2 linked regions of the Danio rerio genome follow. The main gene of each other region encodes a partner of the protein of the gene in region 2 in a complex. Links are inferred from orthologs where the notes say so. Each region holds a gene or a part of one and is shown on either strand. Other genes may lie near its edges. The genes, in order: wtap and mettl14.

Region 1 (9,027 bases), on a different chromosome or scaffold from region 2:
GCAATACCGCTCTTTGGAAGCGCAGACACTTACGAAGTTCTGGAAGGTAATAATACCAAACCACTTTGAATACAGACTTTGGCTAAGGCATTTTGTAATGACCAAAATAACATTTCAGATGTTGTGCAATGTGATTAGTTTGCCAGCTTGTCAAGTAATGGCATCCCATTGCACCCATTTTTGTTATCACATGATCTCTTAAAACAAAATTTGATGTGCATGCTGGAATTTATTCACTAAACATGCTTCCATTGTAGTTTATGCACATTTATCTAATCAGATAAAAAGTTAATCCTACTCACTTGTGTACTTAAATTTTTATGCACATGTTAAAAATGTATGCGCATCTTGGCAGTTACATTAAGCATTTTTTTATGTGATATTCCAAAATGTGCATAAAAATAGGTGAATGGATACATAGCAAATTTTGATGGACTGATGTGGAGTGAAAGAGTAAACTGTCATATGTCTTACCCTGTGGTTCTCCACCGCCATTGGGTGACAGATTTGTCCAGAATATGGTATGATTAATATGACCACCTCCATTAAATTTCAATGCAGGCTGAAGGGAGACTTGGGTTGTCACATCACCTGTAACACAGCAAAAGCAAACCTGAAGACTTTTTATAAGCAATGAAGACCATTTAAGTGATGAATCATAACTTTTGAATGTAGCAAATGTAATTTTAGTTTGGATGTCCAAATCCCATCACATGATCAAAAATCAGGCCTGATCACATGGTTTTAGACTCGATCAGAATCGGATGTTACGTCCCGATCAGAATATGAATATGAAAATATATATATATATATATATATATATATATAGGGTTGGACAAAGTCGACCAATTTGGCATTGAACAATGTCTAATGTGAAACATCGCGATGGACGATGGCATTAGGGAATTCATTATTTATGAATAATTAATTATTCTGTAACAAATTAATTATTTGTAGCCTACCGTTTCAACTGCCAAACCCACATGGTCTTTGTTTTAACCATAAACAAATCATAAATAAATAAAGATAAGTTAAACACAAATTACCACCTGTCAATCACTTTTCAGTGGGACTCTAGGCATGAACAGGCTGAGTGATCTGTGTTGTTATAATGGCGTCGATAAACTTAGTTGGTAAAAAGTTGCACAGCCAACAGGAAGCAGCCAACAGTAGCTGAGGCTTTGGCTAAAATGACTACGTACAAGCGTGAAAGCGAAAGATTGAAGTAGTGTACTGACGCTGTGACACGTTACCTGATAGATTTAAAAGACAGAAGAGTCGTTAGATAGAGATAAAAGTAATTAAATATCATGTTTAACTATAGTGAGACGCGACCCATCGGTACATCCTTAATAAACTGTCTGACGTTCACTGCTCTCTGGGGTTTTATGCTCAAAGCACCCGCTGACTGCTGGAGCTTAGACGCATGCATACGCTGCAGCGTATATGTGTGTGTGTGTGTGTGTGTGTGTGTGTGTGTGTGTGTGTGTGTGTGTGTGTGTGTGTGTGTGTGTGTGTGTGTGTGTGTGTGTATGTGTGTGTGTTCACGTGATGTGGATATCTGTTTGGCACATCGATGAAGTTGCTAGCGTGACACACAATCCAGATGAAATATGAAAGCCCAACATAAGTGTTGATAATATGCAATGTGATTTTTACTAAGAATACCACTGTAGACAACGATAGAAGGGTGTGTATAAAATGAAATAACAATTTGTGTCCACCAAACATAAGGAATAGCAATCTGGTTTGTTCTCACCCTTGGCCAGAGCCTCTTGATATTTCTCCTCTGTGACATTGAGGTTGTTGACATATGTTGCATGGTGCTTGCTGTGATGAAGCTGCATAATCTCAGCACAGATGTGAGGCTCAAGTGCACCATAGTCATATGTGAGGTCAGGGAGAGCGTGCTTCTGTCTGGAGGTCACAGCACCTAAGAGGGGGTTGAAGGTTGCAGCGCACCTATTGTTGACAGCAACAAAGAAATATATTTATGTTTTGAAAACAATATTGCTACAAACAGACAAAAAATTGTCAGGTTATGTTGGATTACTGTGATGAGTACACTGGATCACTGCTGCATGGAAAGTCACATGATCAGAAGTTTCAAACTAGGTTTAAAAAAGGGGGATATCATTTTTGATTAACATTTAGCAAATATTGTAAAAAGTCTTAGTCTTTCCCCTTAGACCAAATAAAGTAGATTTATATATAAATATGAGTGCATTTATATTTTAAAATTAGTAATCTATCAAGATCTAATAAGTGTCCTTGGCATCAAGTTATTTTGAAAACCTCTGGTAAGTAGCCGCTTAGGGCCCAAGGAAATCTGAATAAGAATAAATAATACTCTACATTATATATAATATTGTTTTCTATCATATTTTGTACGGTGAAGGTCTAAAAAGTTTCATTTTAACGTTATTATTACATCTGGGCAAATGTGTACCCTACTTTCAATCATGGACCAGTCCGGCAGTCGAACTAAATTGTTAATTCCGTATGTTTAGATGTGAATTTATCTTAAGAAAACAAATAGTTTCAAAAGTTTTACAAGGTACTTTACATATTATTATTTTGCATTAAGATAAAATGTAGAAAATTAGATTGAATAATATCAAAAAACTGCAAAAAAATAAATAAATAAATAAATAAATAAATAAATAAATAAATAAAGTACAAAAGGTGCATTTTAGATTTTATGAGCCCCCTGGCTGGAATTGTTTAGGGCCCCAAAAATCACTAAATCTGCCCCTGAGTACAGTATACATTAACAAGTGATAAAACTGACTGTTTGTCAAACATAAGTGCTTCAATAGCAACTGTTTGACACAAATTGCAATGATTTCTGATGAAAGTATTTTTTAGGAATGTTGACGAAGATTTGGTCGAAAGGTTTGTATGGTTCGTTTAAAATAAAAGCCAACAGCACACATTTAATTATTAAATATATATTAATTTGAACATTTTAACACGTTAAGCTGTTGTTTGACAGGCTCGACGGAGGCTAATGCAATTACAAGTACACAACTCATATACAACAGCAAATATAGCCTAAGCATCTAAAGTTATTCCTTGTTAAAACTACTCTCGTAATATTACTTACGTAAACTATTGCTGTCCGCTTAAACGCTCAACCAAACAGGTAAATGTGCGCAGGTTATTAATACCGCCATTGATTATATAAACAACATTTGATATTCAGACAGCGGCATATAGTATTAGAACCGATTCAGGCTTTATCATTACCTCCGAACATATCCGACTCTGCACAGCATGCTCTAGTCCGTCACACAGTGATACAAGCGACCAACCAACAGACCTAAATTCGCCACATTACAACCTGCCCTTGAAATTTCAACTTCAACTTGGACTAGACCATACCATTTTGTCAAAATAGGGGTCTGAGAAAATTTTTTTTGTATTTTTATTGATTGCAGACTAAACTATAAAGAATATTTCCGTGTAAAAATAAATTATGAATATTTGAGAGCATAGTATATATTATATATATCTCAAGGGATCGATAGTACTACAATGTAAAGAGGGTGCAAAAACCATGCCCCCTGTCCCAGTTGGTGTAATTCAGTCAGTCATTCTAGGCCTAGGTCCAGAGTGAGACAGTAAATAAATGGTTTCGTTTTAGAACTTTTGTTGCCTGATTTATTAGGATTGTACATTTTGTTTTGCTTCACATTAAAGCAAAATGAATAGCTCAATTTCTTTCCACTTAGTAATTTTGCAAAGAGATTACAAGCAATGGGTTAAGAATTACACAGATCGTAATTCCTATGGCGAATATCTAATGTAATTAACTTGATCATGTATGTATATAGAGAGAGTAAAACGTGTTATCGTTTAGTTAGCATTAAAGCTTACATACCAGGGTTGCCAGATCAATCAAAAGAAACGTGTCAGAAAACAAACCGGATATGAGAAAGGACTTTTGGAAAACACTAAACAGGACACACAAAATATATATTTTAGTCCTTCTTTTCTTGTGCCTTTATTATTGATGTCGTGGTGGTCGGTATGTTTTGTGTGGTAATTTGTCTTTTACAACTAGCTACCTACACCTAACTAACTAACAAAGCAAAAATGAAGTCAATTAATAAATGAATGATTATATACATTAACGTTTGAATGTATGCATGTAAGTTATAAATAAGCTATGTTATCATAATTGTAATAGGTTGTTTGTTGTACTGTAAAAGATGCACTGTTGTTCAATATCAACCTGGCAACACAGTGACAGGAACGTGCTCCTCCTCCTCAGCGCTCGCGCGAACGAACACACTGATGCTGTGCGGCTGAACATCGCGCACACGCTGGTCATGGCGGACGGGCTACCTTTCGTCTAAATAAAAAACGCAACATTTTCCCTATCCCGAGAACTATATTAATAAAAATAACTCTTTCGTATCTCACATTGGAAGACATACGTGTCATTCTGGTCGAGGCGAACCGGCTCTGGTAAGTGGTAGGGATTTAATACGGCTATTTCAGATAAAGTGCTGCTTCTCGGAGAGGGAGAGTCTCTTCCTTCTCCGCCATTTTGTGACAGCGAAAATGCTCCAAGAAGGCGCCGGTACATTTTTATTCCTGTGCGTCTGCAGTCATTTATTGTCTATGTTTTAAGACGAATCTGCATTATCGGCTACGTAAGTTCTTCATGTCTTCCCCGGGAGTAACGAGCACCGTTCCTGAGACTATGAGAATGGCGCGCGGTTGTTTGCGGCGCAGAGCGTTTACCAAGTCAAATCGTTAATTGACGAACTCAATTCGCCTGAATTACGAAACTAACCTTCTTGTTTGGCTATATGAAATAATATTTAAGGGCTACAGTTTGCATTTTTCGATTATAATACGTTAAATGTGCAATTCAAGATGCATATAACGTTTTAGCAGTAAGTTAAGGTTAGGTCAAAATGTTAAGTGATATTTTTTCACATTTTCGCAGTTTAGTTTGTTTCCACATGTTTGCTGCATTTAATTATCAGAAAGTGAATAATTGGCCTTAACTAAGCAAATTCCTCCACAATATCTGTTGTAATTGAGAAACAACAACCTCTCCCTCGCCTGGTGGCCTATATTCGTTATAGCACACGTGTAGGCGTGTGAAATCCATGCAACTGTCTCTAAATCTTTTCTGCATATTGTTGCTTGAAATTGCGTGTGTAGGTTTGATTCATTGATTTATTTGAACTTACTAAGTGTTTGGTTTGTATGCTTCTGTCTTGCAGAGATCAGAATGACCAATGAAGAACCTCTCCCGAAGAAGGTGAGCTCTTTGTCCCAGTCTAATCTGATTATATGATTCTTTCTCCTGAACAAGGTCTCTTTATGAGTCTTTATTTTCTTTTTATGTACTTGCAGGTTCGCCTTAGTGAATCTGACATGAAGACGCTGACTCGAGAGGAGCTCTGTACCAGGTATGTAACCATTCTCTCTCCCGCAAAAACAAAGTATGCAAGTTGAAAGATTCTTGATTGTAATGCTGGTATGTTTTCTTTCCGGGTGTAGGTGGAAACAGCATGAAACTTACGTCCAGATGCTTGAGGCGAAATATGCTGATTTAAACTGTAAGTATGCACATCTTAAATGTTCTGAATAATTCATAGTCTTGAGTGCTTTACTCAAGCACAGAGTGTTCAGTCTTTGTGTTAAAGTAATGTTATTGCATAAAATGAATTGTTGGTAACTAATGCATTTGTTTCATGTTGAAATGTCTGCAGCCAATGACGTGACAGGCCTGAAAGAGTCTGAGGAGAAGTTGAAGCAGCAACAGCAGGAATCTGCACGCAGAGAGAACATTCTGGTGATGAGGCTTGCTACAAAAGAGCAGGAAATGCAAGAGTGTACAGTAAGTTTTTTTTTCTTTTTTTTCTTAATCACTACTACATCTGTTTACTTCTGCTTTATGATCAAGTCTATTCTTGGAAATATGTCAGTTTGTTTGAGTAGTACTGAGTGTCTGAGTTTTGTAGGTGCTGCCTAAGTTGCACACTTCCCTACTATAAGTAGGTGCAAATAGTAAGTTATTCAAAATGAGTATCCACTCAAGAAGAGTGCATGTGATTTGAGATGCTGCTTCTGCTCATGGGTCCCCACCATGATGATTTCTTTTTGTTTACATATAGCAGATGCATTTCTTTTTCTAATGATCTGTGAGACATCAAAAAACATTGCAAATGTAATAGCTGCTATGATCTAGTCAAATGTGTTTTCAAATGTCGGCCATGCAAATTCTAGCTGTAATTTATCATGCTGTACTGAAGCGGATATGAGCATAAATTTTCCAACATTTCAACATGCTGGCATAAAGCAAAACAAATGCAAGTGGTGGCGGATGCAGGCTTGTGCATGTCTACAGTGTTCCACCTTTTACTGCAACTTTCACATTCAGGCACAAACTTTATTTGTAGCAGGTACAAATGACATTACGAATAGGGTTTGGAGTTTCAACTAGACTAGTTTTCATTGCGGTGATTGTTTAATATTGGGACATCAAAGCACTTCAGTTATACAAGCTACTCATTAACTAGACAATGAGCTTGGTATTAAACAGTTGTTTCAAAAATTAAAACTTTAACTGTATACTAGTTTCAAAGCTGAAGTTTTTTATTTATATAAACAGGGTTCATACCATCATAGAAAACCTAGAAAAGTCATGGAATTTTGACATGGTGTTTTCCAGGCCTGCTAAAGTTTTGGAAAAACAAAAGCCACAAAGTTTTGGAAAAGTCATGGAAATTGGATATCTGTATACTTGAATAAAGGTTTTTTACTTTTCTTCCTTGGCCAATCATATACTCTCAAATTATTAGTGCGGTGTAAGCATTATCTAAATCAAATTTACATAGATATAAATTGAAACTAAATGGATTGTTGCGTATTTTATGATATGCTGTAATAAATTTGAACTTGCATTGTTTTTCTTTTACCTCATATATGTAGATAATGCATGAAACATTAGGCCATAAATATTTACTTGTAAGTCTTAGAAAAATCATGGAATTTTATTAGCAAAAATATGTATGAGCCTTTTATATACGTACTTGCATACTCCATTGACTTTTAATTTTTAGTTTGAAATGCTGAGATTCTAATGGTCTCTTACCTTGCAGACCCAAATCCAGTACCTGAAGCAAGTCCAGCAACCGAGTGCAGCTCAGCTGAGATCGTCCATGGTGGACCCAGCCATCAACTTATTTTTCCTCAAAATGAAGGCTGAACTGGAACAGACTAAAGACAAACTGGAGCAAGCCCAAAATGAACTGAGTGCCTGGAAATTTACACCTGATAGGTAAACTAAAATAACTCCCCCCTCCAAACAAAAAGTCAAGACTTTCCTGATTCACCCCCACCTTCTCCTCTGCAGGAGTGCAGATAATGGTGGGGGAAGACTGAAATGTGTTGCTCACAACGAGACTCAGACTTTAAAGCAAAAAAGCTCAGAACAAAAGACATTTTTCTTTTGTATTGCCCTGCTATTACACATACCGTAATGTAAAATCAGAACAGAACACGGCAGTTTGGTCAGGTGACACTTTTGTTTCAGCTCTTTCTCTCCCCCCCACACCCCTCATGGTACAGAAGCCTGAAGGAATCGGGACTGTTCCTGAAGAGGTGGTCACGTCGGAAACTCAGCCCGTGTTAGAAAGCTTCCTGTAACAAATAAGGCGGCCTATGAAAGACTTGAGCAAAGCGTTGGCTCTGGAGCTGGTTGAACTGTAGTTTGCAGGTCACTGATTGAACATTTAAAACATGACATGGCCCAACTAAATGTGTTGCAGAGGAAAATGCCCCCATATAAACTCCATCATAGATGCTTTGAGACTCTGGTTAAGAATCTAGAATGTAAAACAGGGAGGCGGGAATGTAGTGTGATGCAATGAAATGGGGGTGGAGTTAAGCAATCTTAAGACTTTGGGGGAGAAAGCCTTTATGATGTAAGACTTTGGGGGAGGAATCAGACATTCTGATCTGCAAAGACTTTCATATATGTTCATCTCACAGGTGCGACATACGGTACAGTGTCTTAAACCTTTTATCTTTTTTTGTGTTCGTAATATTATACTTTGTTTTTGCTCTGGAAACACTCCTTGCATTCACAGTAGAGTGGTCCAAACGAATTGAATTTATTTAAAATTGGCTGTTGCACTGCTGTGGATGCGAATATAATTGTTCTTTTCGATGTGAATGCAAATGTGCCATGTGTGATAGTAATATGTGTGAATAGTACAGCTATTCAATGTTCAAATGTCTGTGTATGATCATTTGTATTTTAACTTGTGTACCTTTCTAATCCACTTTTTATTTTTCGGTCATCCAGTGAAAGTTTAATTTTCTTTTTTTTTTTCTCTCAGGTCACAAATTTTTTGCAGGTATTTTGCTCATTAGAAATGTTCTAGCAAAATCTTACACTTCAACTTTGTTGGATTTCCTATCTGAGTGAATCAAAAGTAGTTGAAAATATTTAGTCAAAAGTCTTTTGAAATATTGACTGCTCTAAAGTGGCATAAAGAATTAAGCGGTTGTCATTGGAAGTTAGTTGTAGGATTCCCATAAAAGTTGCTGAATTGGTTTAAGGAAATTGTTTGTATTTGATTGTTGTTACATTTGATCTCAAACTGCTCTTAAATGTAAAATGTGAGCATTCGTTCTGAAGAGAGTTTAAGTCTTATTGTTTAAGGACAGTAGTGTTACTGCTGTATCTGGCAGAAAAGCACTCAAGTATATTCTAATACTAAAGAAAACATCAACATATCAGTATAATCTTTGCCAAGTTTTTTACTGGAAATAGGTTAAAGGTGCTGCTAATTTAAATGAAGCGCTCTGGCCATGCAACTTTATTGCATCTTTGTAATATTTTGCAGTGATAAGAAATTGATCTGCCTACTGTCAAGACTCTTTGTCATGTAGTATAGAACCAGTCATTTTTTTAATCAACTGATGCAGATATTGTTGGTAGCTCGTAGCTACTTTTAGATTAACAGGTAGGTACTAATAGTCACTGAAATGGAA
Region 2 (9,062 bases):
ATTACAAATGTTCCCTCAGTTAGGCAGCACGAAAACATTAATCTTTGAGTTGCTTTATGTGATGACAGAGGAATGCTTTAACCTCCACATGAGTTTCACTTGTCAGTTGTATAATAAATGTGTGTGTTTGTGCATGTGATGTTGGGAATTACTCAGCTATAATGTATGGCATGAAAACAATGTAAGCTATTGACTACAGCAGTACAATCAGGTCTATTATAACGCTAGTGAGCAATAATAAGAAAAGCTATGTCCTTTGCTTTTGAAATACATATCTGAAATCTAACAGGACATAATATTAGATTTACACCACAATAATTAGAAAAGAATTGCCTTTAGATATTCCTTTATAAGATTTGATGGTGAATAATCTTGCACAGACATCAGTTACGGAGTTAGAGTAAATAAGTGCAATCAGTGCAATAATACACTGTAAAAATATTGAGTTCAACACAATTTCTTCGATTATGTTAACTTCATTATTTTTACAAGCTTAAGTGTAATGAATATTAAACAAGCTGTCCCAAAACAAATGTTGTTTCAACTCATTTTAAATAAGTAGTTTGAACAAGCAGCAAGTCATTTTTTATGTGTATAGGTATAATCTATATCATAATATAATATAAACCCTTAAAATTCATTTTTTTTAAAATACATCATAATGAAAATTTTAGGCAACATGGTAACAACATAGAACTGTTGCCTTACAGCAAGAAAGTTGCTGGTTTGAGCCCCGGCTGGGTCACTTGGCGTTTCTGTGTGGAGTTTGCATGTTCTATCTGTGTTTGCCTGGGTTTCCTCCGGGTGCTCCAGTTTCCTCCATGAACCAAAGACATGTGGTACAGGTGAATTGGGTAAGCTAAATTGTCCGTAGTGACTTCAATATGTGTGTGAATGAGAGTGTATTAGTGTTCCCCAGTAATGCAGCTGAAAGGGCATCTGCTGCATAAAACATTTGGTCGATAAGTTGGTGGTTCATTCCTCAGTGGCAACCCTTTAAAAAAATTAATGAATAAATAATTTTATTTATTTATTAATATATTTTTTTAATTAGCAACACTAGTATTGAAATACATCCAGTGTGTGTGTGACAGTATTTCATGTGTCCAGTGTTTGCATCCAGTATATGTGCAGGCCAGCTGCTGCATTCAGAGCAGTTATAAATCACACACAGCACACAAGCACACATGATGGCAGCACATGTTCTTCAAACATTTCAGCGCTTCAAAACATTCACAGAATGTTTGGAAAATGTGAAGCGGCAGATGTGCTGGAAATATAAACTGATTGAATACCAAAATATTTAAATAAGCTCATCCGGTCATTTAAGACTGATAAGATGTTCACGTGCAATAATACTGAAAGAACTGTAGACAAATGTCACAAATAATAAATATGGCAATATTATTACACAACCTTATATTTTTATACCTCTACTCCAAGTACTCTTTCCAGCGCTATTATAAGACAGGATTACATCATTAAACTATTTATGATCGTTTGCATGTGATTATTCTTATGAAATTATCTGATAAAAAATGACAAATCTCCTTTAGAAAAAATGGTTGTGTAGCTTTGTAGATTATTAGCAGTTGTATTGCCACAGTTTTACTAATACTATGGTTAGGGTAGTGGTTAATTTTATGGTTACCGGTTTGAATATAATAATGGTGTGCTTGTACTTGTGCATGTGTGTGTTTGTGTAGTAGTAGTAGTAAACCATGTTTAACAGTTCTGTCTTTGAAGATGCACATTCCTAAATTTTGCCATGGTAAACGCTAGTTTAAATGGGCTAGTTTTCACATGTGAAGTTGCTTATCCCACTCACAGCCTCTACTAAGGTTAATGGTTTCAAAAAGGGTCAAAGTGAGTTCCATTATCTTTTTCCAAGAGCAAAAAGTGGAAATATTTAGCTTTTATGCAGCTAAAACTAGCCCACAAATAAACTTACCTTATTCACTGGATTAAAATGATGATATTGCCTGTCGTGCAGTACATTACACAGGTCTCAAAACTTTTTCTTCTCTCACAAGTCATGCTGTAAAATAGTCACTGTCAAATTAAACGGTACTAGATTCCTCACTTTCTAAGCCCGGCGGAAATAAATAAGCACGTGCGCATCTGTCAGAGAGAGTTCACTGCTCAAAACGCGCTCGTACACTCCTAAAAGAGCTACGATGACTGCAACAAATATATGAAATTACCAACATTCTGTGGGAGACTACTGTTTCACAGTAAAAACCCAAATGACAACAAGACGTCTTGCGCTGGATGAGAGTGGCTGCTTTGTTCTCCGTTTAGTGCTACCTGAGGCGCATACCTTTCCCACGCGTGGATGCATTGAAGTTTGGACATGTCTTAGCTTGCATGTGTTGTGTGCACTGCAGTATTTTTTTCTTTTTTGACATGACAATTTTTAAAGTCTCAAGTAATAGTAAGCATTAAAGTAATCTATGGAAATAGGTAATGCGCGAGAAGGTCTTGTAAAAACAATTAAACACACTTGAAGTGCGGTAAATTTCTTTCGCATAAACTAATACTGTTGAAAATTAGATACTTTCTTTGTATACATACATACCCTGCTTGCAGTCGCAGTATCCCCAGTCAATGCGTCCTCTGTTGTTCGTGAAGAAGCACCAGGGCCGAATTCTCCCGTCCGGATTTCGGCAGAAAGTGTGATCTCCGAGCCCTTTACCTTGATACCGCTCTCTAACACCGGGCACATCGCTCCAGTTCATGCACTTCACGCCTGATTCGGTTGCGTCAATGGACCCCTCGTAAAAGCCCGCTTTCCCTTTGCTCTGAACACAGTCAGTGAACGGAGAGCCGCCAGTGCGCGCGATCATAAGCAGAAGCGCGCAGACCGTAAAGACGAACCGACACCTCACATCCATCACGATCAACCTGTCCGTGACTGTCACCCTAACACCCGACAATTACTCTCCAGTCTGCGTGGATAAGACATGGTACCCGAGTTTTCTCATCTTGTCGTTTGGCTGTTATCAGAGCAGCAGACGCGGATCAATAAAAGAGAAACCGGGGAAGCCCGGAGCTTATGACTCATGCATATTGATGATCGTCGCCCAGTCTGGATTTCAAGTTTAAAAAGAGAACAGTTGATGGTAAAAATCAATAGTGTCCTTCATTTAATAGTGACAAGTTGCAGAACAATAGAAAAAGAATCTACGAGGCAAATAGTAATTGCTAAATAAATCATTCCACGATAGCGCCCGAGCTGCGCGCGCCGATCTTCCCACAGAGTGAACTTAAACGAGAGTCTGCCACGTTATATCAGTAATTTGGCGTCTAGTCTGGTCTGGTCATCACTGTTGGTCTCTCCGAGACAACACGGTGTACAAATTTCGGCTCAAGCTTTCAGAACTAATCACAATGACAAACAGCCAAAAGTTCACTTCTGCCCTCTTGTGTCAGTAAAATGCAACCAGAATCAATGCTTTTCATTTATGAAATTATAAACATTATTAATTATAGAATAATAGCTAATTTAAAAATATATTTTTAAAATCGGTTTCAGTTACTTTCAGTCAGCAAGGATAGATCAAAACAAATACAATATTAAAAGAAAAGAAAAAATACAATTATTCAAAGTCTAAATTTAAGGCTTTAAAATAATTAACATTGCTTTTTGTTTTAGTATTTTTTGTTTTTATATCGTACATGATCTATTTCTATTTTAAAATGAGTAAAATTAGGTTTTTTTCACAGCCCATTTACATTTACGAATAAAACAAATTCCACATATAATGAGCAAACACTATACCAAATTTTGAAGCCGGCTGTATTCTCATAATAAACATCATTTCTTTTAATTCCAATGCAATACTCGTACTCCGCAAAAAAAAAAAAGATCACACCAAAACAATAGTGTATAAATACAATCAAAATAAATGAACAATACTCTCTTCTTAATCGTTACAGAAAACACATTTTAAGTCAACACCTTTACAAAATTGTGCAATTACCTGTTTTACATGATAAAAACGATTAACAATTTTAAATATTAAGTTACCTCTCTAATTTTTCAGTTATACAAAAACGTCTGGAGATCTTAAAAGTCTGGTTCGAGTTTACGTCTTGAAATTGTGATCTCCAAAAACTAATGGCTGAAGGAACACTGACAGTCAAATCATTCAAAGATAATCATTATTACATTTTGTTTACGCTAGTTGTTTTTACTCCAAATAAAAGTAAGAGGCCGTCTACTGACGTCACCGTATGCGTCAAGCATTGTGATGATGTAAAATACATGCGACGGTTTCTCACGTTGAGGGTTTCAATGGATTTTTGCCGCACTATTGTTGTCATCTGATCATTTCACGATTAGCTATTTTCCTGCAAAACATTTTCGACATGAACAGCCGCTTGCAAGAAATACGGGAAAGGCAGAAGCTCAGACGTCAGCTTCTCGCACAACAGGTACGAATACACAACTTTATTTCTTCCTGCAGAAAGCCAGTTTTAGCAAACACTGCCATATTAACGCGGTGTTATATTACTAACGCCAATGAACGTAGAAGCATTGCGAATGTTTTATGACATTAATGATTTGTTTTACAGCTCGGAGCAGAGAGTCCCGACAGCATCGGCGCAGTTCTCAACAGTAAAGATGAACAAAAAGAGATTGAAGAGACTAGAGAGACCTGCAGGTATAAACCATTTGTTAAATTCAAGGACTATGTGCAGCACTAAAAAATAAAGAACACTAAGACCTATATACCCCAAAAGAGCTAAAACTGTACTGATAGGACAACCTTTACATTCAGCACGGGTATGTGATGCTGCTACTTGTAAGTTAGTATTAATCAGAACGATGCTGAGGTCAGTTACCATTTGGTTTGTTTACTGTAGGGCATCATTTGACATATCAGTTCCTGGTGCTAAAAGGAAGTGTCTGAATGAGGGTGAAGATCCAGAGGAAGATGTGGAAGAGCAAAAGGTGAGAGAGCGCTGATCAGGAATCGGCTGTTAATTCAGAAAAGCCCTTACATTTGATCAGGTCAGAGCTATGTGTAACTGATTTTGAATCTGCTGTATGGTGTAGGAAGATGTTGAGCCTCAACATCAGGAAGAGAGTGGACCATATGAAGAGGTGTACAAGGACTCCAGCACATTTCTAAAGGTATCTTTAAACACAATTGTATATGATTTAATTGAGCAATCGGGTATGAGAAGCTATGATATTTTTGTGAGGATACTCAGACATATATTCACAAAACGGTTACCACTATATACTGTCATTAAAGGCAAAAACATGGTAATTTTTGAAAAGTACGATCTTTAAATTCTTTCATTCCATCAGAAAAACTGTCCCTTACAGTAAACGTAAACTGCATTGGGTTTTGCAATTAAGGTATGTTTCATAGTTCTTAGAACTAATGTAGGAAATTCTCGCTTTTGACATGTTTGTAATGCAAGGACTAGGAACAGTTTTAGTTATTGGAGCTTTTTTGGGAAACAAGTGTTACATACAGTATATACATACAGAAAGCTAGAGATAGTCTCATTTACCTGTTGGCTTTTTCTGCTTTCTGCATTCTTTCCTTTGTATTCCTTTGTATTATGTATCAGTATAAGATGTCATAGGGGATTTATTTCTTCTGGTTCCTTTTTCAGTTGCATAGTTTATGTCTATGCAAAGTCACTCTAAATATTACTAAAATAACATAAGTAATGTTTTTATTATATCATTACTTGTTTCACAGGGCACTCAGAGTTTAAATCCTCACAATGATTATTGCCAGCACTTTGTGGACACAGGTCATAGACCTCAGAACTTTATCCGAGATGGAGGTAAAGTGTTTTTCTACTTTTTCTTTTTAGTTTTCCACTTTGAGAGTGTGTTAACCTGTGTGTTCTCATGTGCTGTAGGTTTGGCTGACAGGTTTGAGGAATACCCCAAACAAAGAGAGCTCATTCGACTGAAAGATGAACTCATCTCTGCCACCAACACTCCCCCCATGTAAGAAAACTTGGTCTCAGTCTATGTCATAGGGCCCATACCGGCCAGTGGTGCCCATTTGCAGTTTTTGAAACCTGAAAATTATTCACATTTGTGTATAAAACACTGGGTTTTATTTAGATTCTAGAATTTTATTTGAACGTACTAAAAACAAAAGTGATTTTGAGGTTGCTAAGCAAATAAAATCAGTTATTTTTTATAATAATTAGAAGCATTTAACTATGGGACAATTGGGTCTTTTTCAATGCTTTTATGAATGTAATAACTCTTGCGTTTGTGTGCGTTTCAGGTATCTCCAGGCAGATCCAGACACGTTTGATCTGAGAGAGTTGAAGTGCAAGTTTGATGTGATTCTGATAGAGCCTCCATTAGAGGAATATTACAGAGAGTCAGGCATCATTGCCAATGAGCGCTTTTGGAACTGGGACGATGTGAGTTACTGCAAATTCTCAAAATCAACCTCATGAGAATGTTTTTAAAATTGATTTCAATTATGTATTATAATACACATTAGAGATATACTTGACTACACTCAAAAATGAAAATTCTATCATCCCCACTTGTCCCAAAGCTGTTTGAGTTCATTTCTTCTGTTAAACACAAAAGCAGATATAGTGAGGAATGCTGGGGGAAAACAGCCGTTGACTTTCATAGTTTTTTTGTTTGTTTGTTTTAGTTGTTTTTGTTGTTCCTAATATGGATGTAAGTGGCTGCATTTTCCAACATTCTTCAGATTATCTAGTTTTATGTTCAACAGAAGAAAGACATTGATAACAATTTACAACCATTTGAGTCTGACTAAATGGTGAGAATTTTCATTTTTAGATGAACTATCCATTTAGATAACAGTTATTATATATTTTATGCTCATATAATATAATAATGTAAGATGTCCTAACATATATAATAACTTATTTTTGTATTCATGTGTGCTTTAGATCATGAAGCTGAACATAGAGGAAATCTCATCCATTCGCTCTTTTGTATTCTTGTGGTGTGGCTCAGGAGAAGGCCTTGATCTTGGCCGAATGGTACAAATCTCACAAATATACAAACTTGACATGGCAGATTTCTGTTCCATGTGCATAAACCTAAACTTATCTCAAATATGATGTACACATAATAACCTGCCCACATACAAATATGCTGCTTTTACATCATTGCCAAATATTCTTTATTCAAACATATTTAAACATCTTTCATTCTTCTTTCTCTCTCAGTGTCTGAGAAAATGGGGCTTCAGGCGATGTGAGGACATATGTTGGATCAAGACCAACAAAAACAACCCTGGCAAAACCAAAACACTGGACCCTAAAGCAGTGTTCCAGAGAACTAAGGTAAAAGTTATTGTCTATAATATATAGAGTCATAGGCAAAGCACAACATTGTAATCTCACTTATTCATAATGATGCTTTCCTGTAGTAAACACTTTTTTTTTGACATCTCTTTTTTGTGTGTTTACACTCAGGAGCACTGCCTGATGGGTATCAAAGGCACTGTTAGACGCAGCACAGATGGCGATTTCATTCACGCTAATGTGGATATTGACCTGATCATTACAGAGGAGCCAGAGATGGGCAATATTGAGAAGCCAGTGGAGATTTTCCACATCATTGAGCATTTCTGCCTGGGTCGTCGACGGCTGCACCTGTTTGGCAGAGACAGCACTATCAGGCCAGGTTAAATATTTACAGATATTATAGATGTATATTTCTATAAATTGTGCATAGCATTCCTCAACGATGTTAGTTGTGAAATTAGTGTATTGTTTTAAAAGTAACAACATAATATGGCTTGAAAAGACAGTACTTTTAATGATATTTTAGTAAATTATAAATTATATTTTTAATCACTACAGTTAATAGATTAGAGCCAGAAGTTTTTTTTTTAAACTAAAATTCATTAAACGGTAACATGAAATATTACAATTTAAAATAACTGTTTCCTATGTGAATATGCAGTAGTCAACATTTAAGGAGGATCAAAGATCGTTATTGTATAATAAATATATAATTAAATGTATTTAAAAATGATAAATAATATTAATATTATTGTAAAAATATTGGCAATGTTCAGTACACATTTTGCGTTTAGGACACTTTTGCTGAAAAGTTTTGATCCATTTTAAATATTGACTGATATGCTTTACAGTTTATTGTATTTCTATCATTCAAAGTTGAAATTTCAGCAGGCACTACTCCAGTCTTTATGATCCTTCATAATTCTAATTTGCTTCATTTTGTGACGAGTATGTGATGAACAGAGTTCCAACAATAAAAAGTATTTCATTAAATTTTATTAATGCAAAAATAAATAATTAATATAAATATTTCCACCAAATGTGTTCAGTTCTTGTGTAAATGTTATATGATGTAAAATGTTATGGTTTATTTCATTTAAGGATGGCTGACTGTGGGTCCCACTCTGACCAATAGCAACTTCAACATCGAAGTTTACTCCACCCACTTCAGCGAGCCCAACTCTTACTTGTCTGGTTGTACTGAAGAAATCGAGAGACTCCGCCCCAAATCCCCACCTCCTAAATCTATGGCAGAAAGGGGTGGGGGTGCACCGCGAGGAGGACGGGGTGGTCCTGCTGCGGGCCGAGGTGATCGGGGTCGAGAGAGAAATCGGCCAAACTTCCGTGGGGATCGAGGGGGATTCAGAGGCCGTGGAGGCCCACATCGTGGATTCCCTCCCCGATAGTCTGCAACGTGCCAACATTCAGACTGAAAACAAAAAATGTGAGGATTCTGAGATATTTTTGTATTTGAAATTTGAAAAGGTGTTGATCTCTGTATTGTTTTTGTTAAGTGTATTAAGAGGTTAGGGATGGGGTTCAATTTTAACAACTCAATTCTGAATGACTTCTGTAAAGTCACTTACAAAAGTATTTGTAAAGATTTTATTCAGCCTCAATTAAACCCTGTTTTTTAAACAAAGATTTGTTTTTGACTTTTGCACATGACTTAACTCATCCTCCATTCACTCACCACTTTATTCATTTATGTTGTTGATAGCAGACAGCTGGGATTTCCATGTAGTATGCTGGGATTGCATCATGCATTTTAACCAAAACTG

The links.
Region 1: mettl14 (region 2) and wtap share a complex: the UniProt entries of both Homo sapiens proteins name them as parts of the WMM complex. The link is inferred for Danio rerio from reciprocal best matches to the Homo sapiens genes METTL14 and WTAP.

What each region holds. Positions count from the first base shown.
Region 1 is NC_133195.1:33,720,081-33,729,107, reverse strand, and holds the start of wtap (pre-mRNA-splicing regulator WTAP), read left to right. Parts: upstream 1-4,316; 5' UTR 4,317-4,473; exon of another isoform or gene 4,474-4,661; intron 4,662-5,243; 5' UTR 5,244-5,251; coding exon 5,252-5,281; intron 5,282-5,376; coding exon 5,377-5,432; intron 5,433-5,523; coding exon 5,524-5,582; intron 5,583-5,735; coding exon 5,736-5,863; intron 5,864-7,127; coding exon 7,128-7,306; exon of another isoform or gene 7,307-8,031; intron 8,032-9,027. Other genes in the region: sod2 (superoxide dismutase [Mn], mitochondrial), read right to left, coding at 475-591, 1,760-1,962, 3,250-3,278. UniProt on the Homo sapiens protein: Associated component of the WMM complex, a complex that mediates N6-methyladenosine (m6A) methylation of RNAs, a modification that plays a role in the efficiency of mRNA splicing and RNA processing.
Region 2 is NC_133176.1:21,568,438-21,577,499, reverse strand, and holds mettl14 (N(6)-adenosine-methyltransferase non-catalytic subunit METTL14), read left to right. Parts: upstream 1-4,279; 5' UTR 4,280-4,371; coding exon 4,372-4,437; intron 4,438-4,578; coding exon 4,579-4,667; intron 4,668-4,869; coding exon 4,870-4,957; intron 4,958-5,062; coding exon 5,063-5,140; intron 5,141-5,723; coding exon 5,724-5,811; intron 5,812-5,889; coding exon 5,890-5,980; intron 5,981-6,269; coding exon 6,270-6,411; intron 6,412-6,918; coding exon 6,919-7,011; intron 7,012-7,200; coding exon 7,201-7,317; intron 7,318-7,449; coding exon 7,450-7,660; intron 7,661-8,382; coding exon 8,383-8,687; 3' UTR 8,688-8,923; downstream 8,924-9,062. Other genes in the region: prss12 (neurotrypsin), read right to left, coding at 2,579-2,894. UniProt on the Homo sapiens protein: The METTL3-METTL14 heterodimer forms a N6-methyltransferase complex that methylates adenosine residues at the N(6) position of some mRNAs and regulates the circadian clock, differentiation of embryonic stem cells and cortical neurogenesis.